2 linked regions of the Callithrix jacchus genome follow. The protein of the gene in region 2 interacts with the protein of the main gene of each other region in a biochemical or structural test. Links are inferred from orthologs where the notes say so. Each region holds a gene or a part of one and is shown on either strand. Other genes may lie near its edges. The genes, in order: RAB1A and CHML.

Region 1 (4,469 bases), on a different chromosome or scaffold from region 2:
AGTTGTAAATGAAGAGAAAGCATAAAACTTTGGAGTTTGGAACAAGATGTTAAAAACAAATGAACTTGTATTTGGGTGATAAAATATTAAGAACTTTTCTTTCTTTCCTTTATTTTCCAAATTTTCTCTAATTACTTTTACAAAGGTAACAAGCTTCATTAAAAAAACTGCAGGCCGGGCACAGTGGCTCACGCCTGTAGTCCCAGCACTTTGGGAGGCCGAGGCGGGTGGATAACGAGGTCAAGAGATTGAGACCATCCTGGTCAACATGGTGAAACCCCGTCTCTACTAAAAATACAAAAAATTAGCTGGGCACGGTGGTGTGTGCCTGTAATCCCAGCTACTCAGGAGGCTGAAGGAGGAGAATTGCCTGAACCCAGGAGGCGGAGGCTGCAGTGAGCCAAGATCGAGACATTGCACTCCAGCCTGGGTAACAAGAGCGAAACCCCGTCTCAAAAAAAAAAAAAAAAAAACCTGCTAAAGTCAGATTGCTAAAAATCTGATTGTTGGCTGCCCTTGTAACCTTCCCTAATAAAATATCCCTCACTTCCTCTTACCCTAATTTCCACTAACATTTTTGCAAAAGTTTTCCCAAATTCCTGTTTTACTTTACTCAACAGTCTAGATAGACTACAAATATAGTAGGCCAGATACTCATGTATTTGATGCCAGAAAAAATATAAAAACTATTTCTGGATTTGATTCCATTGAGGTCATTAATCTAGTCTTCAAAAGAAAAGGATGATGTGATACCACATTTACTCAAGAATTACTATCCCTGTCATCTATGAGCCATTCCTGCTTCTCCTCCTTGAAAATTCCTTCTCACTCCCTCTGTTCCTCCAAATCCAATTGCTGCTGATAATTTCCTTTCAGGTCTCTTTTCTATAAAGTCTTCCAAAACCCAGATAGCTAATCACAACCCACCATCCCCGAAATCTTGTTGCTCTCATCAACGACACACATCTGGAATTTGCTGCATTTACTGGTATTTGACATGCATAAAATGTTTATCTATATTCCTAAACTCCTTAAACATAAAGATTATATTCCTAAATCTTAGCACTAATAGAACGCCTTTCATGAAAATTACGCATACTACCTGAAGAATGCTCATATAGTTTTCCTAATTCTTTTATATGCATTTGAATTTCACCACTACCCTGAAAGGAATAATGATTCCAATTATTCTATTTAACAAAAGGGGAAATAAATTCAGAGGCTAACTTGTCAAAGTTCTCAACTAATCTTGAATATCTATTTACAGTACTAAACATATATATAGTAAATTCAGAAAAAGCCCTTAACAGTACAGGTTTATGAACTTTGATAGAGCGGTAAATCCATATTCTTTACTGTTACCAAGAAAACCACTAAATTAAGAACCTCAAGTTCAACTGTGTTCACCTGTGCAAAACCAACTGTGTCCTTGGAGCCCTTGAAAAAAAAATTTTTTTAACTGTCAACAAAGTAAATATGTCACTACAAGAACACTACCGTCAACTTCTAAAGCATAAAATTCTAATAAAATACTATGGTTTCAGTTTAGTGCAAAAGATTTCAGCATCAAGCCAGTGTTACAAAACTTGAAGAATGCATTTTGCAAGAGCCATGTGACACACACATGACAGTCAGCTAAACTGGTGGGTGGACCTTTTAGGGGAAAATGTTTAGCAGTAATTGATCAAAGCAGCAAATAAACTCAACTTTTACAACAAATACTCATTTCCCCCATCCCTCAAAGGCTTTTGACACTGAAAAGAAATACCAATTCTATCTCTTCCAATTACTCATTACTTTACATATATGTAAACTGTAGAGGAAATTTTTAAAGGGCCACTGAGGAGAGCCAACAAAGTCTACCCAAGGGAAGTGAACACCAGTTCCCAGGAAAGGTGCCAGGTGTGTCACATCTGCTGTCGTGACTTCTTGAGTAAGCAAGAAAAAGAAATGCATTAACTTTTCATGACACGTCATGGAACCTCATTGCCTATCATTCCCTATCTGCAATCATTCAAGCAGGTAATCCAAAACCTACATACAGATCTATCATAGGTCCCATTCGTTTCTCTTTCAACTTGACAGCAGGGTTCCTTTAATCTGGTAGTATCAGAAAAACATTCCTTGGCTTTAGCTGTGTGTTTTTTTTCCTTGACCTACAGAAGACAAAATGACTTAAGTGTCCTCTAAAAAAAAAAAAAAAAATTCTCACAAGTGCCCAGGTTTTTAGGAGGGCAATGGAACCGCCGAGTTCTTAAAGAACTCTTCCAAGACACAACTCAAAAAAGAGAACTTAAAAATCGCTTCTCACCATCTACTCATTCCCCTCAATCCCAAGCAGTCCCGAAAAGCATCCATATTACCTGAAACCTGGCGGAGAGGATGGAAGGAGAGGGAGCCAAGAAGCTCAGGATTTGCAAGTAAAGCTGGTTTCCACCCCGAGGATCCTGACAGTTCCGCAGAGTGCGGGCGCAGGGTCTGCCAGTGCCCTCTAGGAGGGCTCTCCCACGCCATCCCCTCCCCTCAGAAACAAGTCCTCCTTCAAAAGTCACTGCCTCCAGGAAAAGCTAACCCTTCACACCGCCTCAGGACCCTCCGCACAGTTCCTCAGCACCCGCCCCACACTCAGGCCCTCCAACCTGACCTGGTCCAGGCCCGGGCGTCTCACCCCTCCGGCCCGACCCCTCCCCCGCCCGGCCGCCCCTCCGCGTCAGACAATGGGGCCCGGCTCCCGGCCGCCAGCCTCTCCTGACCCATCACCCTCGCCTCAACCCAGCTGAGGCTCCGACTTCCGCCCCAACCCTCCTTGCCCCCTTTAAGATCCCTCAAGCTGGCCCACGGACCCAGCCGACCGGTGCTCTCCTGAACTCACTATTCGGGATTCATGCTGGACATGTCACTGCAGCTGCCGCCGCCGCCACCGCCGCCCTTGCTGCTGCAGCCGCCGCCCTGACTCTCCGCGCCACGGGTAATCGAAGGAAAGGAATGAGATAGGCTGTTCCGGGAGAGCAAACGTCTTCCCCCACTCAGTCCCCTAGAACACAATCAGCAGCCGCTGCCACTCAGCTATCGCTTCCACCCAAAATGGCTGCCGGCGAACCAGGAAATAGGGAAGCCTTAGACCAAGGAGCCTTTACACAGCCGGAGGGCGGCCGCACCGCCTGGCATGCCGGGAATGGGAGTCGCGAGTGCGGATACGCGAGCTGAAAACAGACGGTGCGGAGCGGAGGCCAAGACTCAGCTTCCCGCCAAGCGCCGCGCGTTTGGAGCATGCGTACTTGAAGGGTTGTCGCCCGCCCTATTCCCCACTCCCTCACCTCCCCACCCTCCGCCCCTCCTTGCTCCCCTCCCCTCTGACTCGCTGGCTAGGACTTCGCTCTGACTCCCCCTGGCGGATTGGCTAAGGCCGAGCGGCCCTGGTGATGTCAGCAGTGAGACGTGGCAGCTGGGCTAGTAAGCGCCCCACGCGGGAGGGGGCGGAGAGGGGCGGAGAGAGGCGGAGGGCGGTGCCGGCGGTCGACGGAGGCTGGGGGTCGGGGAAGGTTGGGGACCGGAGGGAGTGGTCAAACCGGAGAGACTGCCGGGGTGCAAGGGCGGGGAGGGGGCCGGGGGCGGGGGACACGCGTGGCGGCTCAGGCCCCCGGTGTGGCTTTTGCTGACCTAACCAGCTTGAGGCTTGCGCCACCCGGCTGGCTAGTCGGAGGACGTCCGCTCTAAGGACAGAAGGGAAGTCAAGGGGCTCCCTGGACAACCCGGAGCGGTTCTTTCACTTCTCACCCAGCCCCAACTTGGTTCGGTCATCGTCCATTGTTGGCCCCGCGCACTACCATTTTCTTTGATTTCTTCTTATTCTTACTGCTGCCCCTGTCTTAACTCGTCAGCCTGGATATTGCAGTAGTCTCCTAATGGGCTCTGCCTCTCTCTTCTCCGCCCCAGCCCATTTGCGCACACAATCGAATGTATCTTTCTGAGACAGCACCTCTACCATGACCCCACAACCTTCAGTGGCTCCACATTCCATGGACGGGAGGGACACAGCCCAGAGCCAGCCTAAAATCCAAGTCCTCCCTTCGTGCCAGCCTTCAAGTTGAGTTGTAATGTCTTATTTTCAGTTGTTACTAATCCTGAGCCATTCTGCAAGATTGGAAAATAATAAACAATAAAAACATGCAATTCATCACTACATAATGCCTACAATTTCTGAGGGTATTATTTATTAACTCATTTTTTAAAAACCTGTGGTCTTAACAGCTCTCTTTAATCAGCGCAGGAATTTAAATCTCCACTAAACTTTAACACATTATCTTGAGTTATTTAATTACAAAGGGCATAGTATAATACATTGTCCAAAGTTTATATTACAGCTTCTAAGAACTAAGAAAATTGTCTCCTGAGACTTACTGCAGAATCACTTTAAATTACTACAACGCCAAAATATAGAAAGAAGGCACTTATATCTACCTATACAC
Region 2 (4,436 bases):
ACATACTTAAATATATACTTGAGTGTGCCAGGCAACTGCTCAATTCTGTACTTAATTCCTGGTTCTTAGGGAGTGCCGAAAATGAGTGGAATTCTTGATATCTTGAGGCAGACGCTGTGACTAAACAGGACTGTTAGGATTGCCATTTTAGTTAAACTAAAGATCTATAACCTACGCAATTTAATCTAAGTTCCAATTGAATGGCTTATTTTACCAGTATACAGAATTATTAGTCATCTTGGCCTAGACAGGTCCAGCTTGTACTGATCTATATTTTAGTAGGTTTAACCGTAGTGAAAACCAGAGCTCAAAACTACAATGATGAATGTTAGAAAGTTTAGCAGTGTTGTATGTATAATGCTTTAGTCTGAAGACTTTCAGGTGAGTATGCTCTTCAGCACCTGGGCTTTTCTACCTCCGGCCACACATAGCATCACACAGATGTCTTGTGCACATGGAATGTAACCAGGAGTCTTTTTTTTTTTTTTTTTTTTTTTTACTACCCGTTCAAAAATAAGAACAAACAACATGTTAGTCTTGGCAGAGGATGTTTAGATAGAGGATGTTGGGATACAGAGATTCAGGGTTGCAGAGACAGTGGCAGAATGCAAACATCATATTCAAATGTTAGGAGTAGGTATTATTTATATCAAGATATTTTAATATGAAACCAGGAATTTTCCTTTTTAACTTACACTTAAACACTTTTTTCCTTTTTTACTTAGACATATATGCATACGTACATTCATATAAATATTTTTTATAAATACATTTTCCTCCTCAGGCCTATTCTGTATGAGCCGAAATATTTTTAAATGACTGGTTGTTTTACTGAATTCATCCTTTTTAAATCATCTGACTAACAATTCGGTAGAAATAATCTCCTATTCCTACCATAAGATCCTACGTGTGGTTGTGGCATAGAAAGGTCATCTATTCAGCTATTCTGGAATCGTACACAGACTGTAATGGCCACAGAAATATTTTTAATCATGGCAGTATGCACATAGTACATAATCTGTTTCTATAAACAATGGAACCACATGCTCCTATTAGTCTAAGCTCACGGCTGTGTATTTTATTCACATGCTAGTTTTCTTAAAAGCTAAATTTAGAGAGTTGTATTATGTTATTTCTTCTTTATTTTTGTGAAACATTATGTTCATTCTCCATTATTATATCGCCTAATTTTGGGGAGGGCTGTTTTATCTCTATTGTTCATTTTCAAGAAATTAGAAAATATGTGAGAAAGCATTTAAGACATGCTTTAGTGGAGGTTTATGTTCAAATAATAAGTCACACTCCAATGGATTGTAATTGTTGCATGAAATTATCTTCTCATTGTTTACAATGTATTCTTTCTTGAATTTTCTTCTTTCAGAGAAGAGTTCCAGTCACAAATGCATATATGATGCATTTTGACATTTACTGCTAAGATGAAATGCAGAAATGAAACCACACATCCGTTTTAGTATTCTCAGATGTGATTAGATGTACTTTCTCATGTTTTTATGCTACTGACTTACAAGAAAAAAAATATTTTAAAAGGGTAACCATTAAACAGCTAGGACCTGCAACTTCAGAGCTTCTGGGATAAAGTGGAACATCAGAAGGACAGATTTTATTACAGCATAGTCACACCTTATTTCTTTCATCAGCAGTTGTCACCAGACGATTTTACTTCCTAGAATGGCGGACAATCTACCCACAGAGTTTGATGTGATTATAATAGGGACAGGTTTGCCTGAATCCATTCTTGCAGCTGCATGTTCAAGAAGTGGTCAGAGGGTTCTACATGTTGATTCAAGAAGTTACTATGGAGGAAACTGGGCTAGTTTCAGCTTTTCAGGATTGCTATCCTGGTTGAAGGAGTATCAGCAAAACAATGACATTGGGGAAGAAAGTACTGTTGCATGGCAAGACCTGATCCATGAAACGGAAGAAGCCATTACTCTTCGCAAGAAGGATGAAACTATTCAACATACAGAAGCTTTTTGTTATGCGAGTCAGGATGTGGAGGATGACATTGAAGAGATTGGTGCTCTGCAGAAAAATCCTTCCTCAGGGGTGTCTAGTACCTTCACAGAAGTTCTGGATTCTGCATGCTTGCCTGAAGAAAGCCAGTCATCGTACTTTAATAGTGATGAAATGCCTGCCAAACACACTCAGAAAAGTGCTGGAGAGATTTCCCTAGAAATAACTGATGTAGACGAATCAGTGGAGAAAGAAAAGTATTGTGGAGATAAAACTTGCATACACACAGTTTCAGATAAAGATGGAGTTAAAGATGAAAGCACATCTACAGTAGAAGACAATGCCAATCAACCAAATAGAAATAGGATTACTTACTCTAAAATAGTTAAAGAAGGAAGGAGGTTTAATATTGATTTGGTATCAAAACTGCTGTATTCTCAAGGATCACTAATTGACCTTTTAATCAAATCAGATGTTAGTCGTTATGTAGAATTTAAAAATGTCACTAGGATTCTTGCATTTCGAGAAGGAAAGGTAGAACAAGTGCCTTGCTCTAGAGCTGATGTCTTTAATAGCAAGGAACTTACCATGGTTGAAAAGAGGATACTAATGAAATTTCTCACATTTTGTTTAGAGTATGAACAACATCCTGACGAATACCAAGCTTTTAGGCAGTGTTCATTTTCAGAGTACTTAAAAACTAAAAAATTAACTCCCAACCTTCAACATTTTGTACTGCACTCAATTGCAATGACATCAGAATCATCTTGCACTACAATAGATGGCCTTAATGCAACTAAAAACTTCCTTCAGTGTCTTGGACGGTTTGGGAACACTCCCTTCCTATTTCCCTTGTATGGCCAAGGAGAAATTCCCCAGTGTTTCTGTAGGATGTGTGCAGTTTTCGGTGGAATCTATTGTCTTCGTCATAAAGTACAATGCTTTGTAGTCGACAAAGAATCTGGAAGATGTAAAGCAATTATAGATCACTTTGGTCAAAGAATAAATGCTAAGTATTTTATTGTGGAAGACGGTTACCTTTCTGAGGAAACATGCTTAAATGTGCAGTATAAGCAGATCTCCAGGGCAGTACTCATTACAGACAAGTCTATACTAAAGACAGATTCAGATCAGCAGACTTCCATTTTGATAGTTCCTCCAGCAGAACCAGGAGCTTGTGCTGTTCGGGTCACAGAACTATGTTCTTCAACCATGACATGCATGAAGGACACCTATCTGGTACATTTGACGTGTTCATCTTCTAAAACAGCAAGAGAAGACTTAGAACCAGTGGTGGAGAAATTATTCACTCCGTATGCTGATATAGAAATAAACAAGGAAGAACTTACAAAGCCAAGACTCTTGTGGGCTCTTTATTTTAATATGAGAGATTCCTCAGGCATTAGCAGAAGCTCATATAATGGCTTACCTTCCAATGTTTATGTCTGCTCTGGGCCTGACTGTGGACTGGGAAATGAGCATGCTGTCAAGCAAGCTGAAACGCTTTTCCAGGAGATCTTTCCAAGTGAAGAATTCTGCCCTCCACCTCCAAATCCAGAAGACATTATTTTTGATGGTGATGATAAGCAGCCAGAGGTTCCTGGGACCAATAATACAGTAATAGCCAAACTACAATCCTCTGAGGAAAGCAAAAACCTAGAAAGCCCAGAGAAGCACCTTCAAAATTAGAAAAGAACTATCTGGAAATGCAGTTTTGGACCTTTACCGTGGCGTCAGAATATTCTCATTTAAAGAACAGTTTCCCATATGAGTAATTAGAAGTGGTGATATATGATGAATGCTATGCAGATGTTATCTTTAACTCTCTTTCAGACATTCAACATTGAATATCTTTGTTAACCTATCAACAAGTGATTTACTGATTATTGAACATTTTGTTTAGAATGGGCTATGTGATCCAAAGTCTTAAAACAGAGTTAGCTTTATTTTAGTATTGGGTATGTATGTAAGGGTTCCATGTTAGCAACTCAGCTTAAAGGTAACATTGTATTTGCTAATGATCTTCAGGTTTTATCTTTGTCTACAGAATAATTAGTAATACCCAAGTAATATTTTAATTACTTTTACAGCTATTAGAGTTGCTGCAGCCTGTTTGAATAGTGAAACACACACAAATGGTAAATTATGTGGATCTTTTGCATATAATATAAATATATAGACATGGTGGTAGGAATAGCAACTAATACAGATGCCAATATGATAATAAAATACGTTTGTCTGTAATTGTTAAAAGATTAGCTTTGCATGATCCTTTATTCATTGTGAAGGTCCGAAGTTTCTAATACCCACTTGACCCTTGTAACTGATGAGGCAATGATGCCACCGCAGTGTTCTAATTTACAAAAAGAGTTGGAGTTCAATTTTTAGTGATTGAAAAGCTCATTTTGGGGGGAGGTTGATTGCAAAGAAAATTTGAAGGATAAGATTTATTCTTGCTTAAT

What was found.
Region 1: the proteins of CHML (region 2) and RAB1A form a complex in vitro, tested with the Homo sapiens proteins (2 studies listed by BioGRID). The link is inferred for Callithrix jacchus from reciprocal best matches to the Homo sapiens genes CHML and RAB1A.

What each region holds. Positions count from the first base shown.
Region 1 is NC_133515.1:48,813,414-48,817,882, reverse strand, and holds the start of RAB1A (ras-related protein Rab-1A), read right to left. Parts: upstream 3,087-4,469; 5' UTR 2,896-3,086; coding exon 2,873-2,895; intron 1-2,872. UniProt on the Homo sapiens protein: The small GTPases Rab are key regulators of intracellular membrane trafficking, from the formation of transport vesicles to their fusion with membranes.
Region 2 is NC_133520.1:44,290,424-44,294,859, forward strand, and holds the start of CHML (rab proteins geranylgeranyltransferase component A 2), read left to right. Parts: upstream 1-1,554; 5' UTR 1,555-1,658; coding exon of another isoform or gene 1,659-1,689; coding exon 1,690-3,663; 3' UTR 3,664-4,436. UniProt on the Homo sapiens protein: Substrate-binding subunit (component A) of the Rab geranylgeranyltransferase (GGTase) complex. Binds unprenylated Rab proteins and presents the substrate peptide to the catalytic component B.